2 linked regions of the Oryctolagus cuniculus genome follow. The protein of the gene in region 1 interacts with the protein of each later gene in a biochemical or structural test. Links are inferred from orthologs where the notes say so. Each region holds a gene or a part of one and is shown on either strand. Other genes may lie near its edges.

Region 1 (10,074 bases):
GCTTCTCTGTCCGCCTCTTAAAAAACTTTCCAAATTTCTTAAGTTGAGGCATAATATATATAAAGTACACAAATATTTACACACTAGGAGAACTTAATTTTTATATAATTTATTATTTTGTGATCCTTTTCTGTGGCTTAGAATAGATGTATATTAGGGTTTTTTGTTAGTATAATGAAATACCTAAGACAGGCTATTTATAAAGAATGGTTTATTTACTTTTTAAATTTTTTAGGATTTATTTGGAAGTCAGAGTTAGAGAGAAAGAGAGAAAGACAGGGAGAGAGAGATCTTCTGTCTACTGCTTCACATCCCAAATGACCACAATGGCCAGTACTGGGCTAGGCCAAAGCCAGGAGCCAGGAGCTTCTTCTGGGTCTTCTATATGGGCATAGGGGCCCAACCACTTGGGCCGTCTTCCTTTGCTTTCCCAGGCGCATTAGCAGGGAAGGGGATTGGAAAGGGAGCAGCTGGGACCTGAACTGGCACCCATATCAGATGCCGGTATTGCAGGTGGTGGTTTAACCTACTAAGCCACAACGCCAGCCTCTATTTTTAAATAAATGTAATCCATGTCAATAACAAAGCCAGATATTAGTTAAAAGAGGTAAAAACAGATTATATCCAGTAACAACTAATATACAGAGAAGAGGGCCCAATGTAAACTGAACTCAACTTTTTTGTGTGCAGAGATGACAGGGCATTTTAAGTGGAGAATGAGGGAGTAGGAAGGGGAAACGAATAGCCAAGAAAGCTGAAAATGTTTAAAAAGTGATAAAAGTGGGGGCCGGTACTGTGGTGCAGAAGGTTAAAACCCTGGCCTGAGGCACCGGCATCCCATATGGGTGCCGGTTCTGGTCCCGGCTGCTCCACTTCCCATCCAGCTCTCTGCTATGGCCTGGGAAAGCAGTAGAAGATGGCCCAAGTCCTTAGGCTCCTGCACCAGCGTGGGAGACCTGGAGGAGGCTCCTGGTTCCTGGCTCCTGGCTTTGGACAGCGCAGCTCCGGCCGTTGCAGCCATTTGGGGAGTGAACCAGAGAATGGAAGACCTCTCTGTTTCTTCCTCTCTCTGTAACTCTTTCAAATAAATAAAATAAATCTTTAAAAAAAGAAAGTGATAAATGAGGCCGGCACTGTGGTGCAGCAGGTAAAGCTGCTGCCTGCAGAGCCAGCATACCATATGGGTGCCAGTTTGAGACCCAGCTGCTCCACCTCCGATCCAGCTCTCTGCTGTGGCCTGGGAAAGCAGCAGAAGATGGCCCAAGTCCTTGGGCCCCTGCACCAATGTGGAAGACCCGGAGGAAGCTCTTGGCTCCTGGCTTCAGATCGGCGCAGCTCTGGCCATTGCAATGGAAGACCTGCTCTCTCTCTCTGCCTCTCTGTAACTCTGCCTTTCAAATAAACAAATAAATCCTTAAAAAAGTAGCCTGCTGTAGATTTACTGATTTATTGAATTTCAAGTATCACCTGCAGTTGCCTTGGCAGGGCCATACCAAACGATTTCATGGGCCTTATACCACCTGCGGGTCTGACGGTCCCCACGCTGACCTACAACAGCTGGCACAGAGCAGGTATTTATTTAATTGAGTGAAAGTATCAAAGACTTTAGCCCATGAGAAGATTCCACATGCTAGTCTCCTGTTTAATCCCCAACAACTAGCTGCCTATCATCTATAGAGTAATACATTTTTTTTCCCTGCATGATTCCCTAAAAAAAATCAGAATCACTACCTATGTCTACTGTTCGCAGTTCATTCATCATGCTGTCTTTTTCCTAAATAAGTTTATCCCACATGAATAAAGTAATTTTGCTTTTCAGGTATGGGCTAAATCTTTGGGGGAAAGTTTCAACTAATTCAAAAAGTAGTGGAAGCATTACAGAAAAAGAATTTTCAAGATAAATCCCTGAGTCATGTGAAAAAAACGGCCCTGAAAATAAATATAAACATGCTATTGTATTAATTTAAATAAGCACATGTATGAAAAATAAAATTAATTAGTTCAAAATTCTGTAGCTGCACTAAATTTCCTAAGATGAAGCTTATGATTTCATAGATGGGAATGGTTTGATGCCAGTAACAGGTTATAATACAATGAATATAAGAATCCATGAAACTTTTAAATAGGAAAAGGCAAGAAAAGTTCTTCTTTATAATGTCAGTACCATGACAAATAGAAAAATTATCATTGTTTCTTCCTCTCTGTGACTCTTTCAACTAAATATATACACATACTTTTTAAGCTTCATTTATTTATTTGAAAGAGTTACACACAGAGAGAAGGAGAGGTCTTCCATCCGCTGGTTCACTCCCCAGTTGGCTGCAACGGCCAGGACTTGAACCCACGCCTATACGGGATACCAGCACTGCAGGTGGCAGCTCAACACCACAATGCTGGCCCCTACACATACATTTTTAATTGCCTTCTAGAGGGGCCGGCACCGTGGTATAGTAGGCTAAGCCTCCACCTGGGGCACCAGCATCCTATATTGGTGCCAGTTCATGTCCCAGTGGTTCCTCTTCCAAACCAGCTCTCTGCTAATGGCCTGGGAAAGCAGTGGAAGATGGGCCAAGTCCTTGGGCCCCTGCACCCACATGGGAGACCTGGGAAGAAGCCCCTGTTTCCGGGCTTTGGATCCGCCCAGCTATGGCTGTTGCAGTTATCTGGGGAGTGAGCCAGCAGATGGAAGACCTTTCCCTCTCCTCTCAAATAAATAAATAAATAATTTTTAAAAATTGGTTTGAAAGGCCGGCGCCGCGGCTCACTAGGCTAATCCTCCGCCTTGCGGCGCCGGCACACCGGGTTCTAGTCCCGGTCAGGGCGCCAGATTCTGTCCCGGTTGCCCCTCTTCCAGGCCAGCTCTCTGCTGTGGCCAGGGAGTGCAGTGGAGGATGGCCCAGGTGCTTGGGCCCTGCACCCCATGGGAGACCAGGAAAAGCACCTGGCTCCTGGCTCCTGCCATCGGATCAGCGCGGTGCGCCGGCTGCAGCGTGCCGGCCGCGGCGGCCATTGGAGGGTGAACCAACGGCAAAAGGAGGACCTTTCTCTCTGTCTCTCTCTCTCACTGTCCACTCTGCCTGTCAAAAAAAAAAAAGAAAAAAAAAAAAGAAAAAATTGGTTTGAAAGACATCCTGGGGGGCTGCAGATACTGGCCCAAGTGCTTGGGGGTCCCTGCAACCCAAAAATGTTGGTCTGGGCTCCTGGCTTCCACATGGCCCAGCCTTGGCTGTTTGAGGCATTTGGGAAGTGAGCCAGTGAATGAAAAATCTGTTTTTGTTGCTCTGCCTTCCAAGTAGATGAAAGTAAATAAATAAACATTAAAAAAAAATCCCTGGTGCTAAAAACCACAAAAAATACTACTTGCTCCCATTTAGCAATTCCTTCAGAAAAACTGAAATTGTGAATGCTTTGCCTTTGAAATGTATCATGCACACCTTTTTGAAAAGCTAAATAAATCCCCTGCCAGCTGATTTTTGTTTGTTTGAGGGGGAGGAGAAGGCAGAGGCAGAGGGAACCATTGGTTCATTCCCTAAACAGCCTCAAAACTCAGGTCTGGGCCAGCAGCTTCATTCTCATCTCCCACCTGAGTTTGCCAGCCTCTTTCGGAAATGTGAAAATCGAAGAGGATGGGTCGCCATCTACCTATCTTTGGGAGTTTAAGCCTTGGCTTCCTAGGATTTCTCCTTTGAGGAAAGACAACTAACAGGTAGGTAATGGATTCTACAGGTCTGGTTAGATGAAAAGGGAGAAGTTTTCCGGCTCTGCCATCTTCAGTGCACTGCCGGTGACAGGCATATCAGGGTATGCTTTAATGCTTATCCAAGAAAACAACCGTTTCATTCTTTCTGTACTTTGCACATTTTGTGGAGAGGATGTTTTGGGGTTGGAGGATTTTAACTATACCCACAGCGGGGTCCTCGAGTTTCTGGCACTTTCCCTGCATCTTTTCAGCAGGGAAAAGGGGGTGGAGCTTCGGAGTAGCACAACTTCGGGTTTAAGCCTGCTTTCCTTTTGCAGGATTCTTAAGCACAGAGAAGTTCCTGTGCTTCCCCTTCCCTGAACCCCTTTACCCCATGAAACTAAGGGTAATAATAATACACTACACATGTGGTGAACAAGCCATCTGACACACAGCAGGTGCTTGGCAAATGATGGGAACAAAATCACACCGGGTTCTCGAAGGCACGAACTGTTCGTTCCACTCCCCCCCGTGGCTGTCAACGCCCAAGCCAGAGTGGCCACCTCCCTCAACCCGAGCCCAGTCCGTCACCGGGAGGCCACGAACTCGCCGCGCGGACCTCTCGGTGTTAAAGGTTCTGGCAGGCACAAAGACATGAAATTAACCGAGCCCTAGAAATTTAGATAGAAAGAGGTAAAAAATCAGATTGCGGGGGTCCCCGTATGCAAATACACGAATCCGAAGCGCACGCAGGCGACGGCCGCTTCCGCACCTCCGGAGCGGCCACGACGCGCGCCGGCGCGGGGGCGGAGATTTGCATGTGCGAAATCGGGAAGAGGGGGAACCACCCATCGAAAACCCCGGGAGGCCGGGCCCACTCCGCCGCGCGGCCCGCCCCCACGCGCTCCCGGGCGGCCGGCCCTCTTCACGTCAGCGCGCCCTCCCACCCGCTCCTGAACTTTAAGACTCGCTCGGAAGAACAACCTGGAGGAGGGGGCTTTCTCAGGAGCTGCCCGCCTTCTCACGCTCCGGGCTCCGGGCGATCCCTGGCGCTCCCGAGTATCCCGGGTTCCCGTGCCGGCCGCCCAGCTGCCAGGCCCTCAGCGCAGCGGCGGGGGCGGGAACGCGCGCGGGGCGGGGCGGAGACCGCCGAGGGCGGCCACGCGCGCGGCCGCGAGAACGCCCCGCCCCACGCCCCCAGGGGAAGGCGGCGGCGTGGGGGCCTACGTCAGCCGCGGGAAATCCCCCTCCCGCCTGGCTGCCCGCCTCCTGGCCCGGCCGGCGCTGGGCTCTCGTCCCGCTCCGCCCCCTTGGCCCTGGCTCCGGCACCCGGGAAGGGCGACGCTGGTGACCCGCAGCGCGAGAACTCAGGGGGTGGGAAGGTGTGAGCCGCAAACCCAGAGGAGGGCGGGAAGGAGGAGGAGGCCTCGGGGGGTGGTCCGGGGGACTGGGGTCCAGCCGGCAGAGGTCCCGCGGCCTCCTGACTGACTGACTGACTGGCGGGCCGACTGTCTGCGGCCGCCTCGGGCCGGGACGCTGGGAGCTGCCTGTGTGCGGGCGGCGCGATGAGCGGAGCCATGGCCTCAGGTGAGTGTTCCCGGCGCTGGGTGCCGAGGGCCGGAGCGAAGGGGGCTCTTTTGGGGGATGGGGGTAGGGGTCGTGCTGCCCTGAGGGTCGGGGGGATCGGGGCAGATTCCGTCTTAAAAGATCGCCTCGTCTGGCAAATTGTCAGGCTTTGAAAAAGTTACCTGCCTCAGGGTTTGCGTGCGCAATCAAAGCCAGACTCTGTAATTGGATTCCAGTTTCATAACCGGAAACCTGAGAAATTCCCCACGCCGGGATGCCAGGGTGAGGAAAGCCTCCGTCCGGATCGGAGGGGGCCCAAGAGTGCGCGTCCTTGAGCCTTGCTTGGTATCGAAATGGTGGGCTTGGGGTCTAGGACGAGAATGAGGAAGCGTGGGACCTCGGGCGAGCTCCTGCCTGCCGTGCGCCCTCGTCCCGTCGGGCGCCGAGCGGCGGTCGCTCTCGCGCTGACCGTCGGCCGAGCGCGGCGCGGCTGTACAGGTGGCCGCTGGCGGGTTCGCCGGGCGCCAGCGGAAAGTTTGGTCCTCCAAGTCGGGCATTTTCCCCGGGAAATCGGGCGCACGTACTTTGCGAGGTTACCGAGCCGAGACATTGAGTTCCCCGCCACCGCCTTGTTGGAAATGAGAGAGGGAACGAGGATTTTTTTTTTTTTTAATATCTGTGCTTTAACATAATGGGTGTTCGTGAAAACAACCAGCTTGTTTAATGTGCTTGTTGGCCGTCCGTAAATGCCTGGGTCTCTCGCTTTGGGGCGGTGAGACGCGTTTATTACGAGAAGCGGCTTTGCAGGGCTGCTGGGGGCAGGCTCGTCTGCAGCCGCGGAGCAGGGCTGCCGGGAACCCAGGGCGGCTGAGTCCGGTGGCCGCGGCTGCCCAGGGGCCGTTTGCAGGTACCGGGAGCAGCGTGAGCAGAGGCCCGGAGGCCGAAAGGGAGGGCTTGTTGGCGCTCGGCCCGCGGTCCCCCAGCCGGCCCAGGTGAGTGACCCTCGGTAGCCGGCCGGCCTCGAGTCGAGAAGAGGAAGTAGCAAGCGTAAGGAGCCTCTTTAAAGGGCCTAGCCCTGCAGTGCCATTGCGATGGCTGTAGGCTGAAAAGGAAATTGGGGTGTTTCACATGACATTTGATTTCAGTTTGTGGTTTTCATGTGAGAATTCAAGTGGAGTTTAAAATATTTCAACTTTCCCTTTACCCACTTAGGTGACCCCACACTTTCAGGTAATCTTATAAATTCATACATTCAAAGCACACTTAGTTTAAAAGTATACAGATAACTACAGCTGTTTGTTTAGTTTATTGGTTATCAGAAAGATTTTATTTGAAAGTAGTAAAGAATTCTGAGCGTTTTAAGTGAAAAAAAAAGGGGGGGCTGGCTATTTGAGCACACTTCATTAAGCTATTGCATGAATGTAATATTTATGAGTTTTTCCAAAAGACAGAAAAAAAAACATTCTTTAGAGTATTGTTAAGATTTGCATGATTTTAAAATGTGATACCTTCTAACTTTTTAATAATTTTGTATTGTGTGCTGTTGTGAGGACTAAGGATTCTTTAAATTGAAGGGAAAAATTAAATGGAAAGCTTTAAAAGTTTGCAAGTTGTAGGTCATACCTTTTGGTGTTTGTTTTTTGGTCTTTCTGGAGGTACATTAAAGTGGAACTCTTTTAAAACATAACAAGTTATTTAAATTAGTTTGAAACCACTAGGCAGAACAAATGTTAAAGGAGTCTGGGTGTATTTTACTTAGATAGAAAGAACTTGGAGAAAAAGATTGACTAAATATTCCTGTCCTGTTTTGAAGCAGTTTAACAAACAGAAAAAAAATTGTGTATCATAGTCTAATTTAGATTGTGTTTGTAGTAAGGTATTAAAACCTCAAAAAATATTTTTATTGATTACCAAGCATGTGAGACCATTTCTTCATTTCTCACCGGATGTCATATGTAAATAGGTATGTGCGATTGAGTAGGTGATGTCTTTAATGTAAAAGGAACACAGATCATAATCTCATAAGCAGAATTAATAAGTGCCAGCAGTAGCTAGAACTTTATACATGGTTCTAAAGTTTGTTCAGGTAAATCATCGGATTCATTGTTTTAGATTTCACAGTTTGGATTCTATTAAACTTTTTCATTCTCTTTTTAAAAATTAGCACACCGTGATTCCAGTCTTTTGACACAATTAAGTTGAATAGGCATAGTGAAGAAAAATGTTCCCAGACCTGTCTAAGGTATACCTAATTAGGTAGCAAGTATTCATATATTTTTAATATAAGTAAAATGAAGTATTTTATGTCTGATTTTGAAGTCTCTCATTGTTCTAGTAAACATGGCTTTGTTTACTGATAATACTATCTCTAGTAAATGTTTTAACATTTATATAATTTATTCACATTTTTCTTTAGCATATGGTTCTGCTATGTCATGCAATAGGTAGTACATGAAGCAATTGTCTATGTAAACCTCACTACTTAACAATTCTTTGTAGTGTTAATGGGAAAAAATAGATGTGAGCATGAAGCAACATGATCTTTAATAATGAAGCTGGAAGTTAGGAATGGGTAGTTAAAGCAAATGACTTCTTTTTTTTTTTTTCAAGTAAAAGCCCACAGATGTTTCAGAAATGCAACACACGAAAAAGTATAGAGATAGCAGTGGCATAAAAGGTGTTAGATGATAGACATAAAGGGAATGAACGAATGAAATGACTAAGAAGGGGTTCAGATAATGAATCATAATTAGGAACATCTGAGGTGTGTAGTATCTTTTTTCAAATAGTTTAAGGGACACAGAATTTCTTTCCAACTTTCTGTCACCTTCATTCTCTGCATTTTGTAGACACATGACTGAATATTACATAGAATACACTTACACAAAAAATTGTTTATCTGAAATTCATATTTTAAGATATTTCTCTAGTTATCACTGATAGGTAGAAAGGTTTTTCAAGACTTGATTTCCCCCGTGGTCTATTGCCAAAATCTTTTACATCTTTTATTTACTTTGTTGTCATAGATGTATCAGAAAATTCCCTTTCTTAGGTTTTTCAGGTCCAGTTGAAAGTCAGCTTTATATTGGAACAGATCTCACCTTTAACCCTATATAAACCCACTTGAGTAAAACAGAAGAAATTTTATTTTCTTTTCCTAGTGAATATAGGTGATCTTTAGAAAAGTATTTATTGTTATCCCTTTTTGCTCCTTTGGGTCTGAGGCAGTCTTGTCTAGGACATCTCTCAACTGGGGTGTTGGCACACTGACCTAACAATTATTTGTATGCTGTATTGCAAGAAGTATATATTGATTATTATTAAAACATTTATTTTGCAAGTGACTTTTTTTTAAGTAAATTACAGTAGTTGAAGTCTTTCCCTATAATCACATCTGTCTTGCTTGCTTGTAGTTAAAGAAGCTTTTTTGAGTGGGCAAGAAAAAGGGGTTGCAAGTAGCCAGAATTGCTTTTCCTATTTTATCCATGACCCAGTCCATACAGCTTACCCATGACCCAGTCCTCAATTTTTGGATTGCTTCTCTAGATATATGCATCATTCATTCCACTGTTTGATGTTTTAAGGCCATGGATCTTAATCCAGAATGTCGTAGAATTGGTTGCAAGTCTTTTTCAGAAATATGTCTGCGATTTACTCTTCAAGATTTCTGTTTCTTTTCAGATTTCAGACAAAGTCAGGGCACAGATATTTTGGAAAAGTTACCTAGGTGGTTCTGATAGACACCCCAGAGTGAACTTTTCCTGGGGATTTCGTTGTCTGTACCAAAATCCATCCATTATCTTCGTAAATTAGTTTGCGTATATCTTAGATTGCACGTTATTTGTTCTATCAGTAATTGTGACTATATCCCCCAGCTGCCTTGATGCTGGTTGTTTTCTAAATTTGGCATCCTGAGATCCTAGCCCTCAACTGGCTGATGTTCATAATTGCATTTTCTTATAACTTCATATAATTTTGAACTGTAAAATAGGATAATAATTCTTGTTCAGTTTTTATGAAGATTAAGGGTACCAAATGAGAAATGTATATAAAAGTGCTTCAAAATTGTATAATTACTATTTGTAATTAAAAAATTTCCAGTGCACTTATTATTATTTCCTAATTTTAGCGATAAGATTTTAGTTAATGTGTATTTCTGACAACTGATAATCCATTTTAAACTTTTTATTTTAATGTAATTCTTAAGTATTAAAATAGGCATTGTTTTGTTATAGGACTTTTTAACCTAAGTACAAATAAAAACATAAATATATTTGCAAACAGTTGGGTTGTATTTCAGATGTTATTGTGATTTGTATTAGCATTTTATAATGCTGTGCAAAAGGTAAGGGTCAATTCCAACTCCACATCATATTGGTCAAAGAGAAAAGCAGTAGTCAACTTGTTTAGAACTGATCTTGAGGACATTTCAGTGCTTTTCAAAACTGGTGATTTGTAGTTGTCTTATCAGTACTCATTTTCCTTCCAGTTCTACAGTTTTTATTTACCTTCTTCAGCTCCACAGATGGCTAAATTTTAGTATTTTTTTATCTTCAAAAAGAATGGCTCTGAAAAATAGAGCACTGAGGAAAGAGATACTGGTGCATTGTACATTTTGTGATTTATAGCTGGGTAGTTCTTTTTAAATAATTACAGATAAAGAAATCAGAATATGAATGGTATGAGCAAATTATAAAAGTGTAGCAATTGTAGTAGCTACAAAGCAGTATTTTTTTCATAGCAGCGGAACCTAAAAGAAAATCTAATCACTAAAACAGTTCTTTAATGTTTGAATAACTAGTACAACACAGAAACTTTAGATTTTTCAG
Region 2 (10,013 bases), on another chromosome or scaffold:
ATGGCTCCGTGTCACCCTGTGGCTCCATGGCCCTCCCAGTTTGGGGGGGGGGGGGAGGTGGTCCAGAAGAGGCAGGGTCCTCATTCCCTCCTGGTGACAGAAGAGGCTCCCAGGGGCCGGCTGCTGCCAGTGCAGCACCCAGTGCTTCTTGGGACGTCTGCCTCGCAGCTAACTCCAGCCTCTCCCAGCCAGGCTTCCGCCTGTTCTGCCAGCAGAGCGCCTCACCTTGGCCCTTCCTAACTCTCACGGGAGCCTCCCATCCCCATGTGGCTATTGTCATCTTCCTCCTGACCCCGCACTGTCTTCCTGTCTCTACTTCAAGGGTCTTGGAGGGTGGACAACCAAACCCAGAGCTCCCAGGAGACAAAAGACCACCCCTGCCTTCCCATTCACACACATTACCCGTCCCTGGAAGCTCCAGGAGAAGGGGGGTGAAGGGAGGGGGCGGGGGAAGGAGCCAGCTGACCGGCTGGTCACCATGGAAACCGGGCCTGTTTCCCTGAAGATGAGCCTGGCTGGGGTGGGTGGGGGTAGGGAGTAGGGGTACGACAAAGGGAATCCAGGAAGCAGCAGAGAGAAGGCTGGAGGGACCCAGCCTCCAAGAGGACTGCTGTTGAGGAGGTGATGTCAGAGCCCTGACCACGCTGCAGCCTGATTCAAAGTTCCCAGGTCATCCTTCCAAATAACACTCCATGGTCTGTCTCCCCAGTCCTGGATTGACAGGAGAGCTCCCTGATAATAGGGGAGGCACTGGTGCTAGAAGCCGTGGGTGACTCGATGCTGACCTCATGTGGTGGGAGAGGGGACTGCCACACACCTGTTATAGCTCAGAGCCAGACATTATTAGTCTGGCTTGGGATGGATTTTTCCTTGACTTCAGCCTCTGTAGGAATTAGAATGGCGGTCATTGCACCCTCCTGAGTTCTTGTGTACCTGCAGAGGGCTCAGATGCCTGCCTCGTGTGGTTTAGATTTTGCTAAGGAAAGGGTTCACTGAAAAAGCTTTGGATCAGATCAGAAGACCCCAGCTCTGCACCTCCTGTTGAATCTTGAGCAAGTCAGCTCACCTCTCTGGTGGGAGTGGTCATGCCAGGTTTTGAACCCAAGTAGTCTGGGTCTGGGGTTTGTGGCAGTACTTTTACTTTAAGAAAAACAAATTTTTAATTTTATTTGAGGGGTAGTGTTAAGCCACCACCTGTGATGTCAGCATCCCATAAGAGCACTGATTCAAAAAAAATTATTTATTTGAAAGAGAGAGAGAGAAAGAGAGAGGTCTTCCACCTGCTGGTTCACTCCCCTAAATGGCTGCAACGACCAGAGTTGAGCTGTTCAGAAGCCAGGAGCCAGGAGCTTTCTCTGGGTCTCCTAAGTAGGGGCAGGGGCCCAAGCACTTGGGCCATCCTCTGCTGCTTTCCCAGGCCATAGCAGAGAGCTGGATTGGAAGTGGAGCAGTGGGGCTGGAACCAGCACCCATATGGGATGCCGGTGGTTCAGGCCAGGGCTTTAATCCAATGTGCCACAGCGCCAACTCTGCTGTTCCACCTCTGATTCAGCTCCCTGCTAATATGCCTGGGAAAGCAACAGAAGATAGTCCCCATGCTTGGGCCCCTGCCACTCATGTGGGAATCCCGAATGGAGTTCTAGGCTCCCAGCTTCGACCTGGCCCAGCTCTGGCCACTGGGCCATTTGGGGAGTGAACCAGCAGATAGAATATATAAATAAAACTCTGACTTTAAAATAAGTAATACTTTTTTCTCTCTCACTGTCTACTCTGCCTGTCAAAAAGAATAAGTAATGCTTTTTTAAAAAATGTATTGGGGCTGGTGTTGTGGCATAGTGGGTTAAGCTGCCACCCAGTACCAGCATCCCATACTGGCACTGGTTTATGTCCCAGCTGCTCCACTTCTGATCCAGGTCCCTTCTAATGCACCTGGGAAAGCAGATGAAGATGGCCCAAGTGCTTGGGCCCTTGTTCCCATGTGGGAAACCCAGAAGAAGCTCCTGGCTCCTGGTTTCCACCTGGCCCAGCCCTGGCCATTGTGGCCATTTGGGGAGTGAACCAGCATATGGAAGACCTCCTTTTCTGTCTCTCTCTAGCTCTGCCTTTCAAAAAAATGTATTTGAGGGGCATGGGCATGTGTTGTGGGCCAGTGGATTAAGCCATTGCTCGTGCAACACCCACCCATATCAGTGTCAGTTCCAGTCCCAGCTACTCTGTTTCTGATACAGCTTCCTGCTATTGCATCTTGGGAGGCAACAGATGACTCAGGTTCTTGGGCCTCTGCCACCCATGTGAGAGACCAGGCTTGGAGTTCAGATCAGCCCTGGCCATTGTGGGCATTTGGGAAATGAATCAGCAGATGAAAGATAGCTCTATCTTTTCCCCTCCCCCTCTCTGTGTTGCTTTGCCCTTCAAGTTGACAATCATAAATAGATTTTTTTAATTTACTTAAGAGGCAGACAGAGAGAAAGGGAGAGAAAGCTTCCATCTGCTGGGTCTTTCCCCAAATGCTGGCAGCAGCCAGTGCTGGGTCAGGCCAAAGCCTGAAATCAATCCAGGACTCCCATATGGTCGGCAGGGAGCCAGCTACCTGCTCCCTGGGCACCTGCTGCTGCCTCCCAGGGGACTGGGAATGGAGCTGGGACTTGAACCCAAGCACTCTGCTGCGGGATGTGGACAACCCGTATTTTAACCACCGGGCTGAACGCTGGGTCCTGCTCCAGCTTTTGAGTCTAGGAGAGAAACACGTCAGGGAAGGAGGCTGAGGACATCTGAAATCAGTGACCCCAAGGGAGGGAGGGACATGGCTTCCTGGGGCTTTCTCCCCATCCGGGGCTCCTGGCTGTCTCATGCTGACACATCCTCCCACTCCGGTCCTCCAGGGGATGCAAAACTCTGGGGAAGCCTCTACCCCCCCCACCCTGCCCCCACCACTTCCCTTCCCATTTCTGTTCCCAGGGAAGCTTCCCAGCCCCTCACTCCAGTGGGTGGCTTGGCCCCACTCTGTGTCCCCACAACAGCTGTTCTCACTGTGGTCTTAGCACAGCCACCCTCTGTTGGAATTGCCAGGGGGGCTTTGTGAGGACAGGGAGGGGGTGGGAGGTGTTTTGCAGATGGGCGTGAAGGTCCTTGGTCATTGCTGTGACAGTTGGTTCCACCTCCAGCCACGCAGAAACTCTGTCCATGGCTGTCCCGTGGCTGAGTGGACAAGTGCCCACGACACCCACCCCAGCTTGCTTCCCCACTGCCAGAGATGGAGAGTGGTGGACCTGTCCGTGATGAGACCCTACGGGCATCGCTGGCCCTAGGCTGGCAGTGCACTGGGAGCAGGAAGAAGCAACAAAGGAGTAAATCATGGGGCACCTGTTTGGGGCTCACCTGTGGGTGGCGCCCCGGCCTGGGAAAGCAGGGACAGGGAAGGAGCGCAGATGTCGTGGGGGCTGGGATTGGGGCGGGGTGGAGACCTCAGCAGAGTGCAGCCCGGCATGTCTGGGGCCTCCCCATCCTGGCCCCACCACGAGGAACTAAACGTCCCTGACCGCGAGGGGTAACCAGACGCTGTAACCGCCTGAGGCCAGAAACCCCCTGCCCCGCTGTGCTGCTCAGACAAGAGTCGGCCTGCGAAAGCTCACTCTGCAAAAGCACTTCGCCATGCCCGATCCACGTGACCTGGGGAACCGACACAGGGACCCCAAGGAAAAACTGCCCCTCCCACCCCTTTCCGTTAGGATAACAGGTGCCCTCTCCCCCTCCCGTCCCAGACTCCTGGGTCCTAATAAGGAAAGATGAGAAAGCAAGGGAAATGGAGAGAAACGGGAGGAAGCCACGCCAGCCCATCCCACCAGCCGCGTACCCACCCCACCAGCAGCAGCCCAGCCCGTGGAGACGACCAAGAAACATCCCCCTAAATCAAACCAGCGGATCAAGGCACAGAAGTTTAGGACAGAATGAATGGATGCAATGAAGGCGCAGAATGGAGAAGGAAAAAGGAGTGGACGGACGGACGGACGCACGGACACACGGCCGCCCGGCCGGCCGAATTCGTCCCCGGAGCAGTGAGTCAGGACCAGCTAACCACAGACCCCGAACCTACGCACGCCGCGCGGAAAGGGGGATTCCGGAGGGGCGGGGCCTCGGCCCGGAAGCGCCCGTCGGGGGCGGGGCGGGCGCGCGGCTCCCTCGTTGGCCCGAGGGGCGGGGCCCGGGGAGGACCCGATTGGGCGGTCCAGCTGTCCAGGGTACCCGCTGCGGCGGACCCCGCCGGCGCTCGCGGACCCCTCGGACTCCGGCGGCTCGGGAGCGAGGCCGCTGCGGCCGGGCGCGCGCTCTGCCAGGCGGACCGGCGACCCGGAAAGGCGGCGCGGCGGGGTCGGCACCAGCTCCTGCGCGCACCGGGCCCCGCGGGCCGGCGCCGCGGGCATGTCGGAGGCGCGCAAGGAGCCGGACGAGGCGGACGAGGGCCAGTGTGACTCGGGCATAGAGTCTCTGCGGTCGCTGCGCTCCCTGCCCGAGCCCACGCCGACCTCAGCCGCTGCGCCCTCGGACGGCGGCGGACGCCAGCCCTGGACCCATCCTCGGGGGACCACCAAGGTGCCACAGGAGAAGGAAGACGCCGACGGGGAGCGGGCTGACTCCACCTATGGTTCCTCCTCGCTCACGGAGTCCCTGTCCTTGCTGGGGGGCCCAGAAGCCGAGGCCGAGGCCCTGGCCCCAGGCTCGCCGCTGCCCCGCGCGGGGCCGCTGAGCCCTCAGCAGCTGGAAGCGCTCACTTACATCTCAGAAGACGGAGACACGTGAGTGGGGGAGCTAGGCTTGCACCTGGGGGGGGGGGGGACCCTGCAGGCACCCGCCCTGGGAGGGACAGCCCCACTGTCCACACCTAGCTCCTAACTCACTCCACACCTAACTCGGCCCCCTGGCAGGGGATGGGCAGCGCTGGCACGCCCTCACCTAGGCGGCCAGCATTTGGAAATCACCACTAACCCACTCTTGGGAAGAGAGAATTCCCCTGACCAGTCCAGCTTTGTTTTCTTGCTGGGGGAGGGGGCATCCTTGTTTGCTCCTGACCTCAGAATGCCCTGTCTCAAGGAACAAGAGGTGCCAGTTACAGGTTGCTGTCAGGGCCGGGAAAGCTAGGTGCTAGGGTTGGGGCTGGCCCTAAGGAGGAGGGGACGAGCTAGCCTGGGGCACTGGCCCCAGCAGACTCACAGGCAGCTGGATGCCCCGGGCCTACTTCCTTGTCTGTTGGCGAAGGGGAAGTGAGGGCTGGAGCCAGCCAGACTCCCTCTCAGCCTCCATCTCCTGAGCCCCCCAGCCCCCTCTGTGTGCTGTGCTCCGCCCTCATTTTACCCTTCCCCGGGGCCCAGGTGGAATTTGGCGGGGACTCGGACAGGGGGCAGTTGAACTAGAAGCAGCTGTAGGGTGGGATGGACAAGCCAGTTAAGATCTTGGCCCCCAGGAAGAAGAAAACCAGCAACAAGAGGGAGTGGCCGGGATTTTGAACTCCAAAACTGGGGAGGGGAGTAGGGGAGGGCTGGAGTCCAGATCGGAGATGCACGGGCAGGGGAGGCAGGAGCTTCCTGTCCCGTCTCGCCTCCTTGAGATGCACTTCTGAACACTCACAGAGATCACCACAGGCCTCTTGGGACTCTGAGCCTGGATCAGCAGCCCCCAGGCCCAGCACCCCAAGGTGCTGGTGGCTCCATGCTGACCTTCGGTCCAGGGAGTGGAGCCTTCTGACACTGCCTAACGCCACCCTTTCTACCAGCTCTGGCTAGCGCCAGGTGCTGGGTCCAGCCGAGGGACAAGTGTCAGGATTCCCCAGCGCGGCCACCAAAGAAGAGGAGGGGCCCTTGCCTGCCTTGGAGGTGTCTGGGCCGCAGGAGGTGTGGAAGTGGGAAAAGGAAGTGGGAGGGGGCAGGGGGCGGGGAGCTGCAGGGAAGAAGGGAGGTGGCTGCAGGAATGTGACCCAGAGGGCAGGCCCTGGCCGAGGGGATTTCCAGAGCCGTTGCTGCCTCCCTCTCACTCTGTCCTGGGCCAAAGCCCGGCCCCTCCTGCCTGAGCAGCCCCCTCCCCAGCCCAGGCAGCTACTCCCCTGGCTCGTGCCTGAGGCAGCTGTCCTGGCTGAGACCCTCCAGCTCCGCTTTCATTTTCCCCACCTGATGTGGGGAAACCCCAGGACTGGAACTTCCCCTGCAGCCGCCCCCCTCACCCCAGGGCAGAAGCTCTGGGCCCCCGCCTGCCTGCCCCTGCCACACACTTTGTGCACTGCCCAGCCCTCCCCTTGGTGGTGCACACCACAGGGGTGGGTCTCTGGGCAGTGCTGTGGGAGCAGGGCTGGCTGCCTCCCCTGGGACTCTGTGACACCCAGAGGCCAGGGTGGGACCCCGCATCGGCCTCCCACTGGCCTCCCTGTTGGGGAGAGGAGGTGGGGCCCTGGGCTGTGGAAAACCCCCTCTTCACCAGGCCGGCCGCTTTCAGTTTGCCCCGGAGCAGCAGCTGGCCGGGCAGGGCCCCGGGGGCAGAGGAGAGTGGGGTGTGGGCAGGCCGGACAGGAAGGCCCTTGTGCCGTCAGCACCCTGCCCACGTGCCCACCCAGCCAAAGCCTTCCTGAAGGCCAGGGATGGGAACTTGGAGCTCCCACCCACGGGATTCTGGCTTTCCACACCAACCCTCACTTCCTGGCTCAAAGTCTCACTTCCTGCACCTACCCCGTGGGTAGCTAGTTAGAGGCTGCTGTGTGCCTTCTGTACCGAGTTCCCAGACCCCACCCCCGGCCCCGGCCCCGGCCCGGGCCCTGACCCTGAGCCCTGCGCTGCTCCTCCAGGCTGGTACACCTGGCAGTGATCCACGAAGCCCCCGCCATGCTGCTGTGCTGCCTGGCTCTGCTGCCACAGGAGGTCCTGGACATTCAGAACAACCTTTACCAGGTGGGTGGGGAGGAGGGCCAGTGCTCAGGTGCCCACGTCTGCCCTGGCCGCTCGCGCGGGTAACCCAGTGCCAGCCACAGAGCGAGGAGCTGGGGCTGGTGATGCATAAGGCACAGCCTCTACCCACAGTGCCCTCAGCCCAGGCTGGGGACTCCAGCCACGCAGCTCGGTGATGGGGGAGGAGGGGGGGTGTCACGTGAAGCAGCCAGGGGGTGCCACCAGCCACAGGAGGTGGCTTCTAAGTGGAGTCTTCAAAGAGGCATTTGCCATGTAGAAACTGCCTGATGCCCCCATCTTTCCAACCTCAAACTAAGCCCTGTTTCCTGCCCAGGGGTTTCCCCACAGTGGGAGGGGCTAGAGTCTGTCCCCATGTGTTCTGGCTCTGGAGGCTAATGGGGACCCACAAGAAGAGCAGAGGACCTCACCCTGCTTCCCAAACTGGAGTCCTGGAACTGGGTGGGGGGCTGATGCAGGGAAGACTTGGTAGTATTTCCTTGGAAGACCAGGGCTGTGGCACCTGTAAGCTGCTCTCACAGAGGGTGGCCCCCTAGACATTCCCGAGGGAGGCGCCTGCCCCCGGTGACCCTCTGTCTGTGCCTACAGACGGCCCTCCATCTGGCCGTGCACCTGGACCAGCCGGGCGCAGTGCAGGCACTGGTGCTGAAGGGGGCCAGCAGGGTGCTGCAGGACCGGCACGGTGACACGGCCCTGCATGTGGCCTGCCAGCGCCAGCACCTGGCCTGTGCCCGCTGCCTGCTGGAGGGCCAGCCGGAACCAGGAAGAGGACCGCCTCACTCCCTGGATCTCCAGCTGCAGAACTGGCAAGGTGCGGGCAGTCCCGGGGACAGGAGGGGGGAGGGGAGGGGCCCCCTGCTGTCCGTAGATTTCCCCACCCCACCCCTCTGGCTCCAAGCACATAGGTACTGAAGGAAGGGATGAGTGAATGGTTGGATTTAGAGTTTATCCCCCGCTTGTCGTGTGCTGATCAGAAAGGTGGATCTTGGCCCTTAAGAGTTCAGCTTCCCAGAGGTCATGAGGACTCATTCACTCATACACCAGAAATGTCCCAAGGGCCCTTCCAGGCACCCCCAACACTATCCTGGGAGCGATTACACCTGGGAGCCAGCAGAGCCAGTGTGCCACTGGCAGCAAACCAGCAAACCTAACTGGAGGGTACAGCTACAGTCAGAGAAGTGAGCGCTGGCAGAGCAGAGCAGAGGGAGAGGGGCTGCGATGAGGGGGCTGGAGAGTGGATGTGTGCTTTTCCTTTTGAAGATTTTATTCATTTATTTGAAAGGCAGAGTTATAGAGGGAGCAGAAGAGAGAAAGAGAAGGGGGGAGAGAGAAAGAGAGGTCTTCCATCTGCTGGTTCACTCCCCAGTTGGCTGCAGTGGCTGGAGCTGGGCTGATCTGAAGCCAGGAGTTTCCTCTAGGTCTCCCACATGGGTGCAGGGGCCCAAGGACTTGTGCCACCTTCCACTGCTTTCCCAGGTGCATTATCAGGGAGCTGGAATGGAAGTGGAGCAGCCAGGGCTCAAACCAGCGCCCCTGTGGGATGCCGGCACTGCAGGCACTGGCTTAGCCTACTGTGCCTCTGTGCCAGCCCCCTGGATGTGCTTTGACAATTGGATGGTCAGGGAGGGCATCGTGGAGCCAGGGACATCTGATCAGAGACTTGTAGGGGTGGAGGACGTACGCTGAGCAGAGGTGGGGTCCAGCCCGGCAGGAGGCAGTAGCACAAAGGGCGGGAGGCTACAGGCAGGAGGAGACAGGGCCTGGGGAGGGCTGGGAACCGGGGATCCCTGAGAGACTCTCAGAGATGTGGCCTCAGCCTGGCCTGAAAGCAGGTGCAGTGTGTGTGTGTGTGTGTGTGTGTGTGTGTGGAGGGGGCGTGCGTCCGGGGGCGGCACTCAGCAGCCTGCCCCCTGAAGCATGAAGGTTTCAATAACATGACTGAAAAGCTGGAAACTTTGAGTTCCTTTCCCCCTCAGACTTTTGAGGGAGTTTTTGGTGTGCATTTTAACGGTCCTGTGATTAGAGGCACCGAGTGAGCAGTGGGTCCCTTGGGGCCTGGGGGGGGTGGAGGGTGGGAGTGGTGGCCGAAGATCAGCAGTACCCTCCCCCATCCCAGGGCTGGCCTGTCTCCACATCGCCACCCTGCAGAGGAACCAGCCACTCATGGAGCTACTGCTTCAGAACGGAGCCGACATTGACGCACAGGTGAGGTGCTGCGGGGGGGGCCCACAGCCCTGCCCCTACCTGTGTGCTGGCACGCCCAACTTCATCAAGAGCCCAGCCCGGCATGCTGACACCCTTCCTCCCCCTGCAGGAGGGCACCAGTGGGAAGACAGCGCTGCACCTGGCCGTGGAAACCCAGGAGCGGGGCCTGGTGCAGTTCCTGCTGCAGGCCGGGGCCCGAGTAGACGCCCGTATGCTCAACGGCTGCACGCCCCTGCACCTGGCAGCCGGCCGGGGCCTCGGCAGCATATCAGCCACGCTGTGCGAGGCGGGCGCTGACTCCCTGCTGAGGAACGTGGAGGACGAGACGCCCCAGGACCTCGCTGAGGATGTAAGAGGCGTGCGTTCCGCTCCGCTCTCTAGGGCTGCCCTCACTCCGCTCTCTAGGGCTGCCCTCACTGACAGCAGAGACAGGTGCATTAGCCCAAAGGGCCTGCCGTGAAACCAGGACTCTGCCATTCACCTACTGTGGGAACAAAAGTTCAATGTAGAAAGATAGTCAAAATGTTTTCTGAGCACTCCCCTACCCCCAAAAGCAGCCAAGGAAAGCTCAATGGGCCGGCTCTGATGTCCCTCCCAGCTCTGGCATTAGCTTGCCCAAGGCCTCAGCTTGCCCAAGGCCTCAGGGCTCTGCCCAGAGGGGCCAGCTGCTTGGGGAATTCTCTGAAGACCTGTTCCTTGGTCTTCAGCTGTCTTTTGGCAGGGAGGGAGTGGCCCAGCAGGTTCCCCTAGGTCACCTCCCCACACGCCTTTCCCCAGGGCCTCTGGGCCTCTGATCTTGCTTCTCTGCTTTCTTTCTCAGCCCCTTACTCTGTTGCCCTTTGATGACCTCAAGATCTCAGGGAA

Evidence for each region.
Region 2: the proteins of REL (region 1) and NFKBIE form a complex in vitro, tested with the Homo sapiens proteins (2 studies listed by BioGRID). The link is inferred for Oryctolagus cuniculus from reciprocal best matches to the Homo sapiens genes REL and NFKBIE.

What each region holds. Positions count from the first base shown.
Region 1 is NC_091433.1:141,819,143-141,829,216, reverse strand, and holds the start of REL (proto-oncogene c-Rel), read left to right. Parts: upstream 1-4,955; 5' UTR 4,956-5,244; coding exon 5,245-5,266; intron 5,267-10,074. UniProt on the Homo sapiens protein: Proto-oncogene that may play a role in differentiation and lymphopoiesis.
Region 2 is NC_091436.1:125,865,482-125,875,494, forward strand, and holds the start of NFKBIE (NF-kappa-B inhibitor epsilon), read left to right. Parts: upstream 1-4,202; 5' UTR 4,203-4,419; coding exon 4,420-4,793; intron 4,794-6,826; coding exon 6,827-6,929; intron 6,930-7,532; coding exon 7,533-7,755; intron 7,756-9,060; coding exon 9,061-9,149; intron 9,150-9,258; coding exon 9,259-9,498; intron 9,499-9,969; coding exon 9,970-10,013. UniProt on the Homo sapiens protein: Sequesters NF-kappa-B transcription factor complexes in the cytoplasm, thereby inhibiting their activity. Sequestered complexes include NFKB1-RELA (p50-p65) and NFKB1-REL (p50-c-Rel) complexes.